Alligator mississippiensis: one gene and its partners. The protein of the gene in region 3 interacts with the protein of the main gene of each other region in a pairwise test. Links are inferred from orthologs where the notes say so. Each region holds a gene or a part of one and is shown on either strand. Other genes may lie near its edges.

Region 1 (7,372 bases), on a different chromosome or scaffold from region 3:
TTTTAAAAGAAGATACTTAGGAAGCCTCCTCCTACCAGAGAACCAAAATATATTTCAAACACCTGCAGTCATAGAAAAGAGCTGAAATATGGGATATTTAAACAAAAGAAATGCAGAGTCAGGATGATTGACCCCCCCTGCTTCAATACACAGACCCCCTTCCTTTTCTATTTAAGGAAGCACAAGACATTTGAGCCTTAGGAACAAATGGTTTGATTCCTGTGTTGGAACAAGAGACCTGACAGCAGCTGAAACAGCCAGACTCTCCCAGCACCTTCCAGAACTCACTTTAGAAAGAAATCCCATTCACATGTCCAGTGCTTCCTTCTCTTTGCAGTTTTGCATCACACCTAAAATGGTAGGAGCCCAGAAACATCTGTGTGCATATCTAGCTTTGTAGATTCTCTAGATATAGAACTGCACTCACTTTAGGGTCCCTATTATAAAGGTTCCCAATCACCAGGCTGCAGCCTGGTACTGGGCTGTGAAGGGCTGGCTGCTGGGTTGTGGCACAAGACCCCTGCTTGGACCCCTGTCTGTCCTCCCGGGCAAGCGGCTTCTGCCACCGACAGTCACATGTGGGGTTAAAGCTGGGTGGCGGGGCAGCCCCAGGAGGGAGGCAGCTGGCTCTGTGTACCCAGCTCCACTCCTGTCCCGGTCTGCAGTACAAAAAAGGTTGGGAACCACTGCCCTATTATATATAAGCTGTCTGGGAGCCCTGGCAGGGTGTTATGCTTTCAGTGACTTGTCCCATTCGGGTGGGTCACAAAACTGGTGGCACGGTACCTGGCACAATAGGCTGTGTGAGGCTTTCCTATTTAAATGGAATGTTTGCAACACTAGTATAATGTTTTATATATGCTGAAGACTTCAACTCTCCTAGAAACAGGGCTACAGTGGCCATTTTAAAATTAAGAATGAAAAAGACACACCAAACAGAAAAATGTCTATGTATCCAAGACTATGATAACATACCAAACAGGGATTCCTTCATCAGAAGCACTATAGGCAGCCTGCTCAGAGGAGGAAGAGTAGAGCACTGATTTGAAAGATAAAAGGTATAGGCATATGATAGGTATGAGGGTGAAAACATTTTGGGTAAAACAGAAACAAAGGATTTTGGCTGTTCAATGAGAAATCTAACCAAAAACTCAGTACTGTCAAAGCAGCCCTAAGGAGGGTAAAACCTGGGCTGTCTTAGATTTTATATAGGTTTTTATACTACACTTATTACCATGGCATCTACACACCTTCCAGAATTGGATCAGGTAACAAAATTAACATCTCACATATATTTGTTCCTTCCTTCTCACTTCAGAGTCTGGTATATGCAATGGAGTGCTTTGCACCTATACATTTGTTGCTTTATTTAGAAAAAGCAAGAATGAAGCACACCTTTACTTCAGGGTGGAAAGTCAGGAGGCTTGTACTGGGAGTTAGCTCCTGTGGGAGTTCATTCTCCAGCCTCAGACAAGCCCTCACGTGGCCAGGTGGTGGAACTTTTGGAAGGGGAGACCAGATTTCAGTTTACATCCTGAGAAGCTAGTTTGAAGGGTTGAAATTAAGAGCCAGCCTAGTATATTTGTTGTGGCTCTTCTTACATTGCAAGAACCTGTTGCCAGCCTTGGCTATTTTCAAGGGGCCTAGGCTAAGCTGCAGAAATGCTGCTAAGCAGAAGGCCCAAAGCCTGTTTCTGAGGGACTGTAGTGTTTACTTTTGCAAATGTGACAATTAACTTGGTCAGCAAATAAAGGAAACCATCAAATACAATTAAACAAAGCACAAGGCCTAAAAGGAGATAAGACCATACATTAAATAATCCATATATGCTATATCATAGCTTTATCTTAAAATAGTAGTAGTAGTTGATGGCTAGGAAATGGTATCTAGAGGTTTGCTTTTTGGAACTGTAGGTAAAGGAGATATTGCCTTAGAACAGGGTTTTTCAACCTTTAAAAAAAAGTGTACTTTTGGTGGGGGGCTGGCAAGTGGCCAGATGTGGAGCGGGGTGGCGAGCAGCCAGATGTGGAGTGGGGCATAGATGAACCAAATTAGGAGGACATCAGAAAGAACCAAATTAGGACATGTGCATATGATGGGTTTGTGAAACAAAGGAATATGCAGACAAGACAAAACATGGACAGTATGATGACCAGGGATCCTAGTTTTCTCTGATTAAAAGTTGCAAATTCTCTGATTAAAAACCCAAATTCTGTGATAAAAATTAAAGGGCCCCCCACAGCCCCTCCCAGGGCTGTTGGTGCCTCGCACTCCACCCCCCCCGTCTCAACAGCCCTCCTGATGCCCCTCGCAACAGCCTGCCAGACCCACAGGCATGTAGACACAGATGCTGACACCTACCACAGCAGGTAAGTGTGTGGGGGGAAGGGACAGGGCAGGGCGGGGGAAAGGGAAGGTGCTGGGGGAATAGATGAAGAAGGCGGGGGGGGAGTGTGCCCCTGTGCCCACTCCCAGGAGCAAGGCTGGGGGGTGAGGGCAGGGTGCCACTCTGTGGGCTACACACATGCCGGCTGGCCTGACAGGAGGTTTACACATGGAGGCCACTACCGCAACTCTGCCACTGCACTCTGCGCTACCATCCCACGGCCACCTAACTGGCTTTGTGGGCAAGTGGTGCAGGGCGCGGCAGCAGCAGTGCAGTGGCAACCACCGTGTGTGGGCCACATATGTGCTGCCCAGCTGGAAGGTGAAATGGGGGGCTTGCATGCAGTGGCATGCCCAACTGGCTCCGTGGTGGTGTGGGGTGGTGGCAGCTGCATGCAGGGTGGGGGGGCTTTGTGGGCAAGCGCTGCTACTGTGGAGCCATGCCCCTTCACACCTGGATCCTAGAGGTGTGGGGCTTAGGGGCTGTGGGGCAGGGCTGGGGGCTGAGGGAACAAGGGGTGCTGCCAGCCCCAGCCGGCACATTGCGGTGGCGCAGGGTGCTGGTGGCTGCATGCCGCATGGCCACCACCATGCTGTTGCTGCCACCTGGCGGCTGGCTGCACAGCTCCAGGCACAGCACCGCAGCGGCAGTGGGAGGTTTTGGAGGCAGGGGCTGTCACCACCATCACGGACCTCCAGGTAAGTGGCAGTGGCGGCCGCGTGCAAGCCCAAGTTCCTGCTGTGGTTGCAGAATCGGCCATGGAGCTGTGCTCTGGCCGAATGCCAGCCTCCCTCTTCTCCTCCCCCAGGCAGCATGTGTGTAGCCTGCATATGGCAGGTACCACCACACCATGCCTCATGTCACTTGCCCGCAACGCCTCCCTGCAGAGGGGCACCCCTGCCCTCACCCCCTGGCCCTGCTCCCAGCTGCAAAGTGCCGCCTGGGGCCGGCAGCACCCCCTTCTCTCAGCCCCCAACCATCTTCCCAGTCCTGCCTCACAGCCCCACTTACCTCCATGCTCCAGGGGTGAAGGGCGAGTCTGAGTCAGATCCGCAGCCTGGCCTTGGCTGCTTCAGAGGCTCAGGTCCTGCCCTCCCCCCTCTCCTTCCCCTCCAGCCAAGGCTGGGGGTTTCCCACCCTTTTTGCAAATCAACTCTTGCAGGCTGGAGCTGTGCCACCCTGCAAGAGCTCTTTGCAAAATTGGATTTCTCTGCTAAAAAGAGAAATCTGCGTTTTCTCTGATAAAAACGGAATCTGTGGTTTTCTCTGTTTTTCCATGGGAAACAGAAAACCTGGATCCCTGCTCATCACCCGCTAGGGAAGGAGAATCTGCCAGGAGAAGGGGTTGATTAGAGATGTATCCCATCTGGGAGCAGAGCTGGCTTTCCACACCCCCTAGTTCTTTTGCTGAGCCTTGGAAACTGGTGCTTTTAAGTCGGAGACCAAGTTCAGTTCTATTTCCAATCATTGATGTTTCTGCAGCTTCCTTGTTACACAACCTTTGCTCTAGGATCTGAAGGAAGGTGTTCATGAGTTGTATATATGCTTGTTTCTAATATAATCCACTGGGTCCTAGTTTTAATAAACAAAAAGCTGTGAAAGGCTTTTTTTTACCCTCTTGTTGATGCCCAGCAAGGAGGGAACAGACTCCAGTTCTGATTTTATGCATGTGGTTATTTTTACTTGCATGAGCAGCCTCATGTGAGTCAGTGGAGCAACTCGTGTGACTTGAAACGAGCTCTGTGCAGAGGGACCCTTTGCTTGCTGGGGAATTTGCTGCAGGGTCAATGACTTCAGAGCCGAGCAGTGGAAGGGCGCAAAAACTCCCACCGAAGAAAACAGACTGGTGGCAAAACCAGGAGTTGGGGGAAGCTGTTGATACCTTTCAGTTGTAGGCCACAGTCCTACCACCAGCCAGGGGCTCACGGGACTTCACCCACCCGGCTCTGAAGGCAGGATCAGGAGCCTTGTGACTCTGGGGAGAGACTGTGCCAGTAGCAACCGGAACAGGATTAGCAAACGGGAGTAATTCACGTCTTTCAGGTGCTCCGGGGTCGCACGTGCAGGCCTAGTGGAAGCGAGATCCGGGCACGGCCGAGCGGGCAGCGAAAGGACGGGGCAGTGTTTCTCGGGGCTGGGATTTGTGGCGGCCCCCTCTGCAGCCGCCGCGCGGGGGAGCCGGTCGCGGCCCCGGAGCGGGCTGGGCGGAGGCGGAGGCGCAGGCGCAGGAAGTAGGAGGTGCCGCGCGGATGGAGGCGAGCGGTGGGGCCGCGGAGCCGAGCCGGATTTCCCTGCGCGCTGGGCTGGCGGGTGTCTGTGCAGGGCTGACTGGCGTGAAGCGGCCCTGGCTGCGCTGCGCGCCCAGCCCTGCGGAGCGAGGTGAGCGGGGGCTGGCGCTTTGCCCGCAGGCAGCCCGGGCTTTCCGTGGGGTTGCAGTGGCCCGACTGCTGCAGGGGCAGGGGCTTGCGCTCTCCGCTTTTTTTTGTCAGACTTGGCCCAGATGCGATGATATAAAGACGCGGATCGTGGGACTGTGCAGAGCCCTTTCCCCACTTCAGAGTTGGGGGCGAGTGCTGACTTCTCAGGACCCCGGTGCAGGGAAGCCCCAATCCCTGACTGGCACCTGTAGATGCTACTGCAAAGTACACCGCGAATAAGTTCATGTGCGACCACCTGCAGGGGCCAGGAGAGCTAACTAAGCAAGCCTGTAACTAGGCTCCTGGACCAGGCTCTGAGAGGGACTCTTCAATTTGGGGCAGAGTGGCCTGGCAGGCATCTACCGCGGTCGGAGCTCCTGGTGCGGGCCACGTCTTTGTTTCTCAAGGTGGGACAAGGCAAGGCCAGTGGCACCTCCGCGTTGCTGGATACAAACCCCTCCTCTTCTCTTCTGTGCAGGGTGCGTGTCTGCATGGTGTTCAGCCTCCCGTCTCCTGCGCCCTACCCCCCTGGGCACGTGGCAGGGCCATGGTGATGCTGCAGGCAGGACTCTGTCCTGGTCTGACGGCAGAGATGATCCAGCTTCTGAAAGCCAGTGGCATCCGAACAGGTAAAAGGCAGCCCAGAGTCTCAGAGCAGGACTCACCCCCCCCCCAGGGGGGGATGAATTGGGAATGGCAGAGGGCTCTCCCCCTTCCTAGGACCCCTGAGCCTGTTCTGATGGTCTGTGCTGTGGGGCAGCCCCTAGGAAGCTACTCCAGGTCCCAGCATGTTCTGTGCGCCTTGGTGGCTGGCTCAGAGTCTAACATTGCTTTCAAGGGACAGGACAGTGGATGTGGTTCATGCCTCACACAGCAGTAGCGGGGACTATGAAAATCCCCATGCTGTAAAGGCAGCCAGATCTGCCTATCTAATTCCTGACCTTGAACATGTTACTTTAGTACAGGGCTGGGCAATTATTTTGGGAGGAGGGCCGCTTACTGAGTTTTGGCAAGCCATCAAGGGCTGCAAGACAGGCCATCAGGGGCAAATAAATATTTTCTAATTTTTTTTAGGGGCACCATGGGCCGGATAGAATGGCCTGGTGGGCTGCAACCGGCCCACGGGTCACCTTTTGCCCACCCCTGCTTTAGTATTTGGAAGCTTGGCATATCTTGGATATTTGAAGTTATACTTTCTGCTAGGCCATTCCTTCTTGGTGCAGCACCCTCATCCCTGCTGCCATTGGGGAACGGGTAAGGCAGTTGTCCCCAGGGAGCATAATGACACCCGGTTCCACTTCTGATCTCAGCAGGGGTTGGTGGCTCTGAGAAGTGACTGAGGGCCTTGTTACTTGTCAGTTGTAGGTAGCTCCTGGAGCTCTTAACCCCAGCATTGTCCACACGTTAACATGTGAAACTAGTTTTAAGCACCCTTTAAGCAGCACAGCTTAAAAATGGACCACCTCAGCTTAGATTGAGCTCTGATCCATCTTACCCAGGTCACATTACACTTATGTTTAGCCACTCTAGGCTACAGCTTATTGTGAACACTCCCCCACCCCTGGTGGCCTGGATTGGATCCACTGCCCCCCTGGCCCCTCACCCCAGTTGAATCAGCACCCCTGTCCTCTACCAGCCATGATTGGCCTGCTGCCCCCTGGAATGGGTCCGCTGCTCTCCTGCAAGCCAAATCCCCATTCATCCCCCTTGCTGCCTCACAGCTTACTTTTGGCTGCTAGTGCTGCTCCAAGGGAGCAGGCAGTGACCCCCACTGCCAGCCCCTGCCACTGCTATCATTGCTCTCTGGACTGGGCTTAACCCAGAGAGGAGCTGCTGTGCATTGGCAGCAGTGGAGGTGGGGACCAGGCGGGGGTGTTCCCTTTCCCTGCCTATCCCCTGGGGACAGCACTGGCAGCTGAAAGTAAGGTGGGAGGGACGGGGGGATCCCTGGGGTGGGGGAGGGATGGGAGTGGTAAGGGGTGGAACCTGAGGGACAGGAGGAAGCCCAGAATGGGTGGGGAGGGGGCAGGATTCTTACCTTTTGGTCATCAGGGCCTCTGCTGGCTTGAACATAAAACTGCTTCAGACTTGAGCTAGCTGTAAGACTGATTGGCATTTGAGCAGCTCAAACTGCAATGTGTAACAAGGCCTTAAGACAGGGGTGGGCAAAGATGGCCTGCGGTGGACTCAGCCCCTGAGTTCCCAGCAGCCTCTGCCCACGTCAGTGTGGCTGCCTTTCATGCAGACCCCAGACGTGGTGGCACTGTAACAGCGTGGGACCAGAGTTTCCATGGAGGCCAGCCCCAGCAGCGCTGGCATGGCAAGCGGCTGGGCGGGGAGCTGCTTCGGGGCTGGGATTTTATGGTAGTGACAGCGTGGTCCAGAGCTGGGGCAGAGCTGTGATCCATTGCCCACATACCTTGGAGCAGCTCCCCATCCAGCTGCATGCCCTGCCAGTGCTGTTGGGGCCGGTCTCCACGGAAGCCCTGTCCTGTGCTACTGGGATCTCCGTGGAAACTGGCCACAGCAACGCAGGATGGGACTGCTGGGAAATGGTGTTCAACTGCCA
Region 2 (6,919 bases), about 330 Mb from region 3:
CGCATGTGAGAATTCTTACGTGTGATATGTGTGTGCAAGAATTCTCGCATGTGGTCCCTCAGCTTTGTACACACACGGGTCCTTGTACACACAAAGTGGTGGGGTCCCCAACATCACACCTGCCCTCAGGCCCCATAAACCCTCAGGGCGGCCCTGATGAATTCACCAAGAGCTAGTAGTCATGCCTGACCTTTGCCACCAGAAGTCCACCCTCCCCTCTCTCCCTCCTCCTCCCCCCCACTGCCAGAAGCACTCCTTTTGGGAGAGGGAGTTTGCCACCTTGGAATCTGAAAAAAAAAATCGTATACTAAAAACTAAACATCTACTATAACATATTTTAATTGTATTTTAAAATATTTTTGTCCTGATTTAGATCTATTTGCATAGTGTACATAGAGGTCATTACATAATAGCTCAAAATAAAATTGTACTCTTGTATATTGTGTGTGTGTGTGACAGGGGTGGGATTTGTGGAGGTGTGTGTGTGTGAGGTTTGTGAAGGGATGTGGGGCTTTGTGGGTGTCCAGGCAGGCACTGTGCGACCATGTGCGGCTCCCCACTGGAGTGGTGGAAGTCTCACATGGAGGCACAGAGCCGCACCATCGGCCTGGCCCAATGGCACTCAGCTCCCACCTGCAGTGTCAGGAGCCCCATGTGTTGGCATGGAGCCAGCCTTGTTTGGTTTGAAGGTGTGCACCAGCATGCAAGGTTGGGCAGGCTCCATGCCACCACGTGCAGCTCTCAGGATTCAGCCAGAGCTGTGCACTGCTGGGGGGCTCTGCCTGCAGCGGGCCAGGAAAGCCCTGAGGGCCCACCACCTGCTGCTGCCACTGCCAGCAGGAGCTGTGCACCATGGCAGAGGGGCCCACCCCCACCCACAAACCCCACCCCCACTTCTGCAGGCAGGAGCTCTCCTTCTCACTCACCAGCTGTCCAATAGTGTGCCATCACATTCAGTGCCTCTACATGGGGCTCCCAGATGAAGTGCCAGGAGCCCCACAGAGGTGGAAGCACAAAGCCTGCCCAATCCAATGGCACACAACCTTTGAAAGCTCACCTCCCACTGGCTTGCAGAAGGGCAGCCATGGGCTGGTAATAATTGTTTTATGGAGGGGCCCCATGGGCCAGACAGAGTTGCTTGGCGGGCCAGATCCAGTTCACGGGTCGTATTTTGCCCAGCCCGGGACTAGACTAAAGTACTGTAAAGCGGATACAAAGCTGGCTGAATCATTGTGCTCAATGAGTAGTCCCCAGTGGCTCAGTCTCTAGTTGGAAGAATAAATCTAGTGGGGGTCCCCAGGCATCTGTCCTAGGTCTGGTACTGTTCAACATCTTCATTAATGATTTGGATGATGGGATTGAGAGCACCCTTAGCAAATATGTAGATGACATCAAGTTGGGTGGAGCTGCAGAGCCTCTGGAGAGTGGGCCTAGGATCCAGAATGTCAGGGACCCTAACCAGGTAGCCCAGCCTGGGTTGATTGCCTGGGCAGCCCCACCTGCCATAAGTCTCTGGCTGACAAGCTCTGGCCCAGGTGAATGAGTGACTTCCTGATTCATGCCTGAGTGTGCTGCCCATCCATGTTGCCCCAGCAGCAGAGTCCCAGGCCAGTCAACAGTTCTGATCCAGTGTACTTGGGCAAGCCTTCTGGTTGCTGTGCTCACTGGCTTTCCTGGCTCTTGACCCCAGTTTGGCTCTGTTCTCAGACTTTGACCTGTGGATTATTCCTGAGACTTGGTAACTTGGCTTCTGATTTCTAGACCCTGATTCTGACCCTGACCTTTGTTTTTGGACTCTGCCCTTGGATTTTCCCTCCAGACCTGGTGATTTCGCTCCCAAACTCTGACCCAGCCCCTGCCTTCTGTCAATGGCTTAACCATTAGGCAAGACCACATACAACTTGGTCCCTAACACAGAATGACCTGGATTGACTGTAACAATGGTCCACAATCAGTCAGATGCGATTGAACAAGGACAAGTGCAAATTCCTGCATTAGAACAGAATACCTGCATGCACAAACACAGATGGGGGAATGAGTAGCTAGGCTGCAGTACTGTAGATAAGGACCTGAAGGTTCCTGTGGACCATAAACTAAATATAAGTCAGTGGTGTGCTCTTGTCACAAAAAATACCAACACCATACTGGGTTGTATTAACAGGAATGTCAATTGCAAATCAAGGGAAGTGATTCTTCTGCACTATATAGCATTGGTGAGGCCTCACCTGGAGTACTGTGTCCAGTTTTGGGTCCCACTCTTCAAAAAAGATGTGGACAGGTTGGAAAGGGTCCACCACAGAGTAACAAAAATGATTAGGAACCTGGGAAGCATGGCTTATGAGGAAAGGCTGAAAGAGCTAGGACTATTTAGTCTGGAGAAGGAAAGACTGAGGGGAGATTGGATAACAGTTTTCAAATACATGAAGGGTGATTATGGAGAAGATGAAGAGCCCCTCTTTTACATAGCTGTAGGTAGGGGATAGGACTAGGAGCAATGCCCTCAAACTGTTGCAGAGGAAACTCAGGTTAGAGATTAGGAGTCATTTATTTTCTGATTATGAGAGTGTTCAAGCATTGGAACAGCCTACTTAGAGAAGCTGTAAAACCTCCATTCTGATAAATTAGACAGACATTGCCTGGGATAGTTTAGTCAGGGATGAGTCTGCCTTGAACACTGCTCACAGAGATACTAAATGACCTTCTGAGGTCCCTTCCAGCCCTAATTTTCTATGCTCCTATGTGATGTTCTGTAGTTTAGGGCAGGGGTTCTCAACCTTTTTAAAGGAGTGCACCCCTTCTGGTGGGTATCCCTGTAACCCCTTCCAGACCAGGGGGAGGGGGGTGCTGATGAACAGATGGATGTGAAGCGGGCACCGCATGGCAGCATGGGGAAGTGGTGCATGGCAGTGGTGCAAAGTGGTGAATGACTGCAGCGGGGGGTGGGGAGCTTACATGCAGCAGCCACCGCCACCATTCACCTTTCCATGCTGCTGCGCGCTGCTTCCCCACGCCACCATGCATACCCCCTGGGGCTGTCCCTAGTACCCCCAGGGGTATGCATACCCCTGGTTGACAACCCCTGGCTTAGGGGAAAGAGTGCAAGCCCAGGTGTAACCCTATATCATCTACTGAAAAACACCAAAAACTTGATTGCAAATGAAGATCTCCTTGTGCTACCCTTAGGGAAGTAACTATAATTCATGTTTTATAAAGAACTAAGAGCTGACACATAGTCTTGTCAGGCACAGTTGGGAAAAGCTAATCACTTTGCAACACTGCTTTACAGGAAGAAGATCCTAAATTAGGCACTTGGTTTAGCCGCGTGTTTCACTAGCTGGAATCTCACATGCTTTATGACTGCTCCTTCTTCCCTGCGAACAAAGCTGCTAAGAGCAACCTTTTTTCCCTTCTAAGAGCTGCCTTCTGTTGTTTATATTAAGTCACAGAGATACTGGCTTCCACATTTAGTGATAATAGATGACTCAGCAGGTGTTACATTTGGCGTGGTTGTCTGTAACCACTAGGAGGTATTTTGGTCCCAGACACAGAAAATAAGACTCCTAACATTCAGTGCTCCCCAGGAGCAAAGTATGGGTCAGTCCACATGAAGGACAGCAGCCTGCTTTTCTTCCCCAATTATCCGCGTGGAAGTTTTTTAACCCTGGTTCTGCCGTGGGGCAGTCAGACCCCATCGAGAGGTCTGTTTATTAATGTTTATTTGATTTCCTTAGGCCGACACGGCTACAACCAACAGGCTTGGTAGGCTTTCTGCCCATGTCCGGAAGGGCCTTGACCCTGGCAATCAACCCGAGCTCCCCGGGGCCGCCAGGACAGGGGGGGCGGGGCCGGCCGCGGGGGGCGGGGCCGCGGGTCGCCGCAGCGCGGCGTCCTCTCCCCTCCCCCGTCTCCATGGCAACGGGCGCCGCTGCCTGGCGGAGCTCGCGGGCCCCCCCACCCCTCGGGCGCGCTGCAGGGCGAAGGCGGTGGCGACGGCGGCTCAGCCCAGGTAACAGCGCGGCGGATCCGCGGGCGGCGGCGGGCGCGACAAACAAGCCCATTAGAGCGGGGGGCGGCGGCGGCGGCGCGAGCCGGCTCGGGCACGCAGCCTTCCCCCGCGGTGCTGCGGCGAAGGGGGCGCGGGAGGCTTGTGCCGCGGGGCACGCTGGGAGATGGAGTTCTCCGGCTCGCGGCTCTGCGGGGGTCTGGGCGAGGCGCGGGCGGCGGGAACTGCAAGCCCCAGCGCGCCCCGGGCCGGGCCTGGGTGGCGCTGGCGGAGGCCCAGGCCTGGGCGCGGCCGTGGCCGCGGGGCCCAAGTAACGGTGCTGGGGCGGGGGAGGCCTCTGGAGCGGGGGCTCGAGCTCCTCCATCCCCGCCCTGTGGCTTGGGGGGCCGTGGCCCTCCTGCCGCGTTTCTCGTGGCTCCCCCTTGAGTGCTTCCCCCCCGCACCTCGGCAGGGAGGTGCAGGACCCAGAGGAGGGTTCAGGCAGGGGCGGCGGGATGATGAGCCCTGGAGGGGCGTCCATGTGGGGAGAGACTGCAGGGGCCAGGCCTAATGTGTTGAGAAAAGAGAGGCTCGTGGCGAGCACCAGGAGGGCTGACAACATGCTGGCTGGTGGGGAGAGCATCGACAGGGATTTGCTACCGGCTGTCCCCCAAGGCGAGAACTGGGGGTTGCAACACGAACGGAGTGGGCAGTAAGTTTAAAACTAATGGCAGGGGTGTGGGTTGTAGCTGTGGTGGTTTATGAACATAGGCAGACAAGGTGCTCTGCGTAAATCTGATGTCCAGTAAAAGAGACCCAACAACCCGTGTCAAACTAACCCTAGGAAGTTCCTCTTCACGAAGAGCGTCAGGTAGCCGGGACCTCGCTGCCCTCAGGTGCTGCGGATGCTGACAGCTGAGCCCGGTTCAGAAAGGGATGGGACACGACATGTTTTTGGAGGAAAGGGGCATTGGTAGCTGTTGAGCCCAGACGTTAGGGATGCGGCCTCTGAATGAGAACTTTCTAGACCTTAAATGCTGGAGGCTGCAAATGAGAGAGCAAGGGGGAAAAACCCTGGTCACACCCAATTCACTCTCCCTTTCAGCATCTACTCCCTGCCCCTGAGTGACACAGGCTACTGGCAAGACAGACCTATGGTCTGACCCAGTAAATGGCAGTTCTTGAGTTCTTAAAAGCTTAGGAAATTACATGCAAAAATTAGTATTAAAAGAATGTCACTGGGGTTACAAAGTCAAGCCCTCCAAAGTTGGCAGTGCTGGAGTTGAAGTTGCCAGGCAAACCTTGCTTGGATGCCTTGGCTGCATCTATAAAGGAGGCTGACTGCGCAGTTTATACAAGTATTAAATGACTGCAGTAACGCTGAGGAATGGCTTTCATGACACTGACTGTGCAGTAGCTCATGACTACTGCGTAGTAGCATTGCATCATGCTTCCTGACACATGACACTACTGAGCAGTAGTCACGGACCCCTGCATCTCATGCAGACACGGCACTTGTATCTGTATATTCTGATGCCAAATACACAGTCACACAGTTTTTCCACAGGCTTCTCCCAAAGGCCTCGGGGCTTCTTTCATGATCAACTGTTTCAGTATTTTTTCCCCTTGTTCAGTACATGATCCCATGCCTTAATTACAGCCTTTTTCAAACCATAGGCTGAAGACAGTTTTCTCATTAGCTTACCTACAGGATCTGGGCTCTTTGCAACCATTGATAGCTTTCTTTTCACAACATCCTTTTGAGAAAAGTGAGTATTATCCCTTTTTCACATAGGGAAATGAAGGTATGAGAAATTAGGAAAAATGTGTCCACTAGTTCTGGGCACTGTGCACTGTTCAGTCAGTGCCTGCGTTCCAGTTTATGCAATGATTATGGCCCCTTCAGTCTATGTAAGATTTGAAGGTTTGGCTTTTCCTAGCCCATCCACACAACTGGCAGGTTTTTTCTAGGTTCTAATCATTGTACACTACAATTACTGTGACGTATTTTTCTTTGGCCTTGAAAAATATAGGGTTTTTTCCTGCTCAGATCTATACTGACTGCTGTTGCTTCTTGCTTTGATCAGGGCATTCCTCTCCGCATGCCTCTACTAGCTCCCTCTTGTTTCTCACATCAGACATAAGCTACTCATTTTCACTTTGAAAGTTTTCCATGGCCTGCCACTCCCCACCAGCCCCACCATTTGCTGTGAAAATGTGAGCTCCCATACCTGATTAACCCAGGATACCCACATTCATTGTGTGCCCGTTACATTTTTAAGTGCAAATCATTGTGCTTTCTCCTAATCTGTTCCTCCTGTGGGGAGAAGCCTCACAGGGGAGTAGACATCATAAAGCTATTTCATTTCAGATTCCTTCTTAACATTCTCTTTTGCCATGATGGCTACAAAAATACTTAACAGGCTGCTAGTGTACAAGAGCACTGCCTATCATGCTGACCAGCGCTGTCACAATGTACTCTCCCATCTGTTTGTAGCCATCTGCTATGTTTTGTCTTATGCTTAGGTTGCAAGCCTTGCGGAGTGAGGATAGAGTTTTGTGCTGTGTTTGTCCAGTACCTAGCAGGAGTTTCCCAGTCTACGATTAGAATGTCTAGGCGCTACAGTAAGACAAAAAAAAATGAGAACAAAAGGTTTTGTGCAACCTCATTCACTCCCCAACCTTGATTCATCCCCAAAGCACAGCTTTGCTGCATACCGAACGAGGCAGGGCTTATTTGGAAAACCTACGTTGTAATCCTTTACTAATTAACAACTATATCATAATGCACATGCACAAGAGGGCTGAGTTAAGATTACACAGGCAACCTTAATTCTATCACTTCCTAACTTTTAAGCAGTCGACTTTGCAGCCTTAATGTTTTATTTAGCCTGTGTGTAATTTAATTAGAAAAACATCCTGCTAAATGCAGTGGAC
Region 3 (7,634 bases):
AATTCCCTTTATCTTATCCTTTGTTCTTTTTGTCTGCTGTGTCTCAGGACAGGATACTGTTTTTTATTATATGTTTTACAGGCACCAGTACAACAAAGCCCGGACTTTCGAAGATAACCTTTATATTTTTAACAACGGAAAAAAGGGAAAAAGTTACGCTGGGCATTTTTCAAATCAGTATGTAAAAGGGACCTAGAATTGTTTCCATCCTGAAAAGTGTTTTGCCTTGGAAATAAAAATCTGATTTATCCAGGTTTCCCCAGCAGGCTCCCTATTGTTAGCTGGTTAAATATTGCCATTGGAAAACAAACAAAACTTCCCTAGGGGAAGTGATGTTTAAGTATAAATGCTATACTTTAATTGGTTAATAACTGTTTAGATTAAGTGGGGAAGATTTTTTTTTAATGCAAACACCCCATCCCATTGACAGAATATAGGTAAACCAACTTAAAAGAAGCCAGATTTGACATTTCAGGCATCTCTAAAATAAGTAGGGTGGCAAGGAAGGGGTGTTATGGGATGGGATGGGGAAGAAGAGATACAAATTTCAGGACATCTTGTGCCTCAAAGGAAGGCACAAATTAATTTTTTTTCCTGTTATGGAGACACCTTTCTAACTGATGTGTTATTTGAGCACACAACATCACAATAGAGATGACATTCACCTCCATTAGGGAAGTTTGAGGTTTCCACTTGCATTCACCTCCCTCACAGAACAAAAGAGTTCAGGTCAGACTCCCAATGGGAGAAGGCAGGGTAGATTTGCCCCTTATAAACTAACCAAAATAGTCAGTGCATCTGACAAAGTGAGTTTGGGCCCTCAAAACCTTGGGCTATATTTATCTGCTTTGGTTAATCTATAATAGGCAAATCTACAGATCTAAAGAAAAAGCCCTGGTGGTAGGGTGACCTGTCTGTAATTCTGGTAGGGAAAGATGTAGTTAACCAGGTTAGTCTGAAGTCAAGTAGAAGGCAGGCTAGATTTGTACCTTATAGACTAACCAAAGTAAACAGATTAGATCAGAATAGATTAAGAGAGCCATTCAGATTAAGAATCTAATTTAATCTAGTCTCATAATCTAATCTGACCTTTTGGACTAGCTCGAGTCTAATTTAATCCAGTCTAAGAAATCAGATTATGTTAAGAGATTATATTAATTTAGATTATCGTGCCAGGTTAGATTAAGAGACTAGATTGGATTAAAATGGGATTAAGGTAGATTAAGAGATCGGATTAGACCAGAGGTGGGCAATTATTTTGGCTAGAGGATTACTTAGGCATTTTTAGTGAGTTGTCACAGGCAAAACCAGCACCCGCACCCCACAACAGCTCACTAAAACTCCCTAACTGGCTCCTGCATGTGGCGGGGAGGCTGGGATGGGGCTACAGGGAGGTGGGGAGCAGCACCTGGGAGCGGGATAGGTGAGCAGGACCATGGCTGGGATTAGGATTGCAAAACAGTGACAGCGGAGGGCCCAGGCCCAGGGCCAAACCACAATCCACTCCCCGCACACCCCTGCAACAGGCACAGATTCTGCAGGCAGAGGCATGCAGGGAACAGATTGCAGCTCTACCCTGGGCCTGGCCCCATGTTATCACTGCTCTGTGACCCCAGGGTGTCCATGGGGACTAGCCAGGGCCTGCATGGGCAGGACATGCACCCAGGAGGATGGGATGGGGCCATGGGGAGCTGCATCTGGGACTTGGTTGGCGGGGATGGGGCCGGGCCAGGGATCAGGATTGTGAGGTGGTGACAGCACGGGGCTGGGACCTGGGGCCGTGCCATAATCTGCTCCCCACATGTCCCTGCCCATGGAAAAGGAGCCCATTACAGAGATGTGCAGGCAGTGGATTTGTAGCTCTGCCCAGGCCCTTGCGCTGTCACTGCCCCACAATCCTGATTCCAGTCCCTGGCCCCACCTGTCTGTCCCGCTCCCAGACGTGGCTCCCCATGCACCCACGGCCCTCTCTCATCTGTCCAGCCATGCACCCTGCCCAGGAGGGTCCATCCCTTGGCCGTGGGTGCAGAGTCCCAGGGCAGCGGAGCTGGGACTGGCAGCTGGAAGGAACCACAACTGGGACTGCCAGGAAACAATCTGGTCACTGCACCACCCCCGCCCTGCTGCACGCCCCGGGCAGTGCAACCAGCCGCACATGCCATGGCCTGGGTTGCCCCTGGTGCCTAGGCCAGGCAGGCTGGACAAAATGCCTTGGAAGGCTGTATTTTGCCCACCCCTGGATTAGATTTTGGAGATTATATTAATTTAAGGGATTAAGGTAGATTGAGAGGTCAGATTTGATGGACAGATTTCTAGGGTTGGAAGGGACTTAGATCATGGAGTCCAACCCCTGCTCTGGCCAGGAAAGAGCACTGGGGTCAAGTAACCCCAGCCACGTACTTGTCTAATCTCCTTTTAAACACCTCCAGGGGAGGAGAAAGCACCAGCACCACCGATTAGATGAAGAGATGGGCTAGAGGCAGATGTGGGGATTCAAACAGATGGAGAGGGCAGATTACAGGAGACAGCCTCCCAGGGCTTCCCCTTTAGAGCTGCTGATTTGCCCCTTACAGTCGAGCCCTAGCGCCCAAGGGCTGTGGGCCCAAGATCGCTTCGTGGCGTGCGCCCACCCCTTCGTCAGTGGACAAGGGGCAAATCTCCCTGGAGGTCAGACCAGCGGGCTCCAGGTCTCTCCCGACGCACCGCGGCTCCGGCCTTGCCCTTCCCCAGGGAGCGGCTGTTCCCAGCGCCCTTGACCGGCCTCGCGGGGGGCTCTCGCCACCGCCGACTCGGGCCACCAAGCCTGGCCTTTCCTCCCGGGCGCGGGCCTCCCTCTCCCCGCAGCGCAGGGCAGGGGCCCGGGGTGCATGGGGGGCGAGCGAGGAGCCAGGCCCGGTTACCTGCTCCGCCCGGCGCTGCTGCGGGTTTCAATCTGCCGCCTTCCTTCCCGCCTCTGCCCGGGGCCGCCCCCGGCTCCTCCCGGCAGCGGCGGCCTGCGCGCCCCTAGCGGCGGGCGCGGGCAGGGCAGGGCATGGCGTCTGGGTCCAGGGCAGAGGAGCCGGGGCTTGAGGGCCGGGGAGGTGTGCTCCCTGTCTCCCTTTACCACAGCGCTTCTCAGCCGGGCGCTGCAGCACCCAGGGGCGCTGGGGGATCCTCGCAAGGGTGCTGCAGGGGCGCAACCGGGGCTGGCAGGAGAAACCCAGAGATTTCGCAGCAGAATCTGCCCCGCTGCAAACGCCGGGCTCTGGCCCGCGGTGGACTGAGCTCTTTGCAACAGAACTGCCCTGTGATTTTTCTTTGGGGGCCTATAGTCACCCCCAAATTTGCCTTAGCACCCCCATAGCCACCCCTGTCCAAGCCCCCTGCTCTGAGCCATGCCACCAACCCCGCTCCCACCTGCAGAGGCCTTAAGTGGGTATTGTTAAAAAAAGAAATAAGTGTATTTGGCCAGAAAATGCATAGCGCAAGCCCCTCCAGTTTTCTGTCTAGCCCACCTCAGCCCCCCGCTGGGAAGAGGATGGTGCCACCCCTGCTGCGATGGTCCAGAAATGATGGGAGGCACCGACTGCTCAGGGTGCTGGTGTTTATTGGGCCAACTGGGTAGTTGGGATAGTTAGACAAGCTTTCCACTACAGGTATCATGCATTGGAAAGCATGTCTAACTTCATCTCAACTAGTAGTCAGTCCTATACAAGAGAGCTGCCTAAGCAGCCCATGCCCCTCATTCTATTGTTTTTCTGCTGTCAAAAAACAAGTGAAAATTAAGAGCTGGCATTTTGAGGGGGTGCCTTGACAGGGGTGGGATTTAATAACAGCCTTCCACTACGTGAAGGGGGTTCCAAAGAGGATGGAGCTCTGCTGTTCTCAGCTGTGGCAAATAACAGAACAAGCAGCAATGGCCTCAAGTTGCAGCAAGGGAAATGTAGGTTAGATAGGAGGAAAAACACTGCAACAGGTTACCTAGAGAGGTTGTAGAATATCTCCATCCTTAGGGTTTGTAAGACCAGGGGTGACAAAACTTTGGCTGGGATGCTAGTTGAAGATGGTCCTGCTTTGAGGAGGGGGCTGGACTATATAACTTCCTGAGGTCCTTTCCAACCTGAATTTTCTATGATTCGATTAAATGAGGGATGCCTTAAGTAAAAAGATTGAGGACCACTGCTGTAATACAGGAGTGCTCCACCTCCGGCCTGCTGGCCAAATCTGGCCCACACAGTTATGACATCCAGCCTTTGGGAATCCCCATGGGTCAGAAAAATTATCATTGGGGATTGGGAGAAGTTCCACAGGGCTGGGTCCAGACCAGCCTGGGCCATTGTGGCAAACTGGTATCAGGGCCTGGCCAACCCCTCCATGTTCAGATTGGGCTGAGCTGTTCCCCATCCCTGCCACATGTCCAAATAGGGGCTGCTTCCCCCCATACCCCCACATCCCCTTCCTGTGGGTCCAGATTGGGGCCTATCCACCCTACCCCTGCCCCTTCCATGCATCAAGTTCAGAGCTGAGCTGCTCCCCGCACACACCTCCCTACATCCAGATTGGGGCTGCTCTGTCCCACCCTCTCCCCACATATCCAGATAGAGACTGGGACACTCCCTGCCTCTCCCTGGGCTGAGATCAAGGTTGGGCTATACACCCCTGTGGCTGGTTGGGGCCTTGCACTCTGGGCCTAGTATTTGCCAAATTGAGCCCACAGGCTGGATCTGGCCTGGCACTGTCCACACATTCCATGGGGCAAAAATGTTGGGAACCACTGCTTTGGGAATATTGGGAACCCAACACATGGAGTATATAACATAGCTGTATTGTAAAGGAAGTAGTTATAGCCTTTCAGGACAAATAACCAGGTCTGTAATAATGACTTAATAGATACCACTAATAGGCTGGGTGCGGCCTAACATCCAGTTATGACCCCTTTATAACCAAGGACATATAACTTTTACATAAAATATGCCTTTATAGGGAGAAGTCTGGAAGTGAGTCACCACAAGTGTAGTTCTACTAGTTAATGAAAACAGCACATATTGAAGGTTTTGGTTGTGTGAATTTTACTGGTTAGGAAGAATGGTGTTAGCGTAGCAGTCACACTGAGTACACATAGGATAGGAAATTTAAGTTGTTGGTATAGTTGTCCTTCACTTATTTTCATCAGTGTGTTTCAGATCTAATCCTCCTTCCAAAAGTACCAATTTGTCTAAAATGGTAGACTATCAGGCAAACTTTTTTTAAAAATGCAAGTGTCTTTGGTTTTAATGGTAGTTTATTAGAAGAGACAAAAGAAAAGATGAACAAAATATTATGGAGAGTGAAATCAAAGAGACTAAATTGTACTTTTGGAAAACAAAGATATCCATCTTAAAAATTGACCTACTAGGCATGAACAGCTCATCCTGATCAAACACATTTGAACATACTAAAAACTCAGACATGCCAAGAAATGATTCACTGTTTATCTAACACATTACAAGAAAAATTTAAATGAATTGCTACAACAGAGGCAGGACCAAGAAACTCCCAGTATACTGGCTGCAGCTTTGTCACAATGATCCAAACGAAGCTGTTAAAGGACTTAGAGGCCTGTTTTTGACATGATTCAAATTGATGTCTCATTTGTTTTTCCCTCTTGTTTTCCTCCAAGAAGTATGAGAAAGGTTGAACAGCTGGAGAATCTATCCTGATAGGTCCTCTGAAATTTAATCATGGCATGGCAATAGGCACAGAAAGAAGGCCTTAGCCCGGTACTTGAGGTGGAGGGGGGGGAATCAACTGTAGACAGACCTCAGCCTTGCTGTAGATAAACTGCGATATAACTTACGGCAGTCACTAAAATCCTGCCGCCACCATTTAACAACAGTGTACTATAATCCTGATCAGAGCACGTTAAAAGATTTTGCATTCTTGTAATCTCCCCAAGACAAACAGGCTAGAAACTTGGGAGTTCCACTTGTAGACCCGCTATTTCTAAGTACTGGAGCTAAATTAGTCCTAGGCCCAAGGTCAGCAACATATGCATTTAAGCATGTGCTTAAATTAATTTTAAGGATGTGACTAAATGTTAAATTGTTAAATGAGGGACCTAGTGGGAGCAGGGAATTTTTAGAAGAAAATTTAGAGAGAAGAATCAGATATTTGCAGCAGTAGAAATTTTCCCAAGAGGAAAAGTACAGGCATTCCAGCATACAGCTACCACTTTTCCCCTCCTCTCCATGCCCTCCCCAGTCCAAGTCCCACCCCCCACCCCAGTGTGGGGAGCGGTGGGGGCAGCTGCAGCTGGACTCCTCCCATAATCAGTAGGAATCAGGAGGACCCTGCTCTGGGGAAGGCTTGTGGACAGCAACAGCAGCTCAACTCCTACCAACCACAAGAAGAGTTGAGTTCTGGTCTGGAGAAGGTGTTGGGGAAGCAACATGACTCCTCCTGTGATCAGGAGGATTTGAGCTGCCACTGTTTTCCAAGCCTTCGCCAGACTGGGATCCCCCTGACCGGGAGGAGTCATGCTACAGATAAATGTCTCAGCACCTTCTCCAGACTGGAGTCCCCCTGGTCTGGGGAAGGCACAGGGGAAGCATCTGCTCAACTCCTTCCCATCATGGAGAAGTCAAGTGAAAGTGGACAAGTGTTTTCCTGAGCTTGATGAAGGGCATGAGAGCCCAAAAGCTTGCAGAAAAAGATTTTTTTTTTTGCGATTTCTTAGTTGGTCAGATAAAAAGTATCATTTCTGAACAAAGAGTTCTAGAGTTTTGCATTCTAGCAGAGGATACTCTTACAGGGCAGGAGAGATCTTCCAGGTGTCAAAGTGAATCATTTTTCTTATGGACGGGGCATGTTTTCTCCATGAGAAATTGAATGAACATTTGCACTCTGACAACTTCTAGTGGAACAGCAGCACTTCTCCTACTAGAAATGTAATATGTGACGGAGAACAGAGCAAGCTTCAATATTCTTTGGTTCAAACTATTGTGGAGCTTCGTATGCTGAAACTCTTTTACTCTTCAGCCAAAGAGTCATGAAAAAATGTTTGTCCGGTGACTTTTCTGCCTTGAGAAAAAAAGAAAATGCTTAGTAACTTTACCTCACTTGCAACAAAATCAAAGAGGAAAGAAAAAATAGGTATGTGTACATACCATATTTTCTCATATACAATGCACCCTGGAATAAAATAAGTACCTTGCTTTTTGAAAGGCAGAATGAAGAAAAATGATTTTTTCCAGCTGATCTACAATACATTACAATTAGCATTCAGTTCTTTAGGAAAAGGAAATAAAAAATAAAAATTAGAGGTGAAAAGCAATTTCTATACTAAGTTGTGCAAATCTTTTTTTCACAAAATGTCATGGATTGGAGTTCTCAGTATAAAGCACAATAGTTTTAGAGTTGGGCAGTTGTTTGTCCACAGACTGGTACATGACTGCAGAGATATGCAAGAAAAATCTAGGTACAGTATTACTAGGATCTAGCAACAGAATTATGCACATATATAAAATCAAATATACTTGATTGAAAATATTTTAAGATTTCCTCCAGCTCTCATTTTACCAGATGTAGAATTCCTTCTTTGGGGGCTGTACATAAAATCAGAAGTGTGGTCCATTGGCTGGAGTGGGACTTGTAAAACTAGGTTTAATTCTGTGTGG

Evidence for each region.
Region 1: the proteins of CEP57L1 (region 3) and RAD51D interact in binary tests that used the Homo sapiens proteins (3 or more experiments, as listed by UniProt). The two-hybrid records come from large-scale screens. The link is inferred for Alligator mississippiensis from reciprocal best matches to the Homo sapiens genes CEP57L1 and RAD51D.
Region 2: the proteins of CEP57L1 (region 3) and KATNAL1 interact in binary tests that used the Homo sapiens proteins (3 or more experiments, as listed by UniProt). The two-hybrid records come from large-scale screens. The link is inferred for Alligator mississippiensis from reciprocal best matches to the Homo sapiens genes CEP57L1 and KATNAL1.

What each region holds. Positions count from the first base shown.
Region 1 is NC_081837.1:26,422,200-26,429,571, reverse strand, and holds the start of RAD51D (DNA repair protein RAD51 homolog 4), read left to right. Parts: upstream 1-4,352; 5' UTR 4,353-4,429; intron 4,430-4,661; exon of another isoform or gene 4,662-4,765; intron 4,766-4,836; exon of another isoform or gene 4,837-5,183; intron 5,184-5,281; 5' UTR 5,282-5,350; coding exon 5,351-5,432; intron 5,433-7,372. Other genes in the region: UNC45B (protein unc-45 homolog B), read right to left, coding at 4,001-4,087. UniProt on the Homo sapiens protein: Involved in the homologous recombination repair (HRR) pathway of double-stranded DNA breaks arising during DNA replication or induced by DNA-damaging agents. Bind to single-stranded DNA (ssDNA) and has DNA-dependent ATPase activity.
Region 2 is NC_081824.1:426,266,827-426,273,745, forward strand, and holds the start of KATNAL1 (katanin p60 ATPase-containing subunit A-like 1), read left to right. Parts: upstream 1-3,899; 5' UTR 3,900-4,006; intron 4,007-4,339; exon of another isoform or gene 4,340-4,694; intron 4,695-6,919. UniProt on the Homo sapiens protein: Regulates microtubule dynamics in Sertoli cells, a process that is essential for spermiogenesis and male fertility. Severs microtubules in an ATP-dependent manner, promoting rapid reorganization of cellular microtubule arrays.
Region 3 is NC_081824.1:94,830,190-94,837,823, reverse strand, and holds the start of CEP57L1 (centrosomal protein CEP57L1), read right to left. Parts: upstream 3,011-7,634; 5' UTR 2,901-3,010; intron 1-2,900. UniProt on the Homo sapiens protein: Centrosomal protein which may be required for microtubule attachment to centrosomes.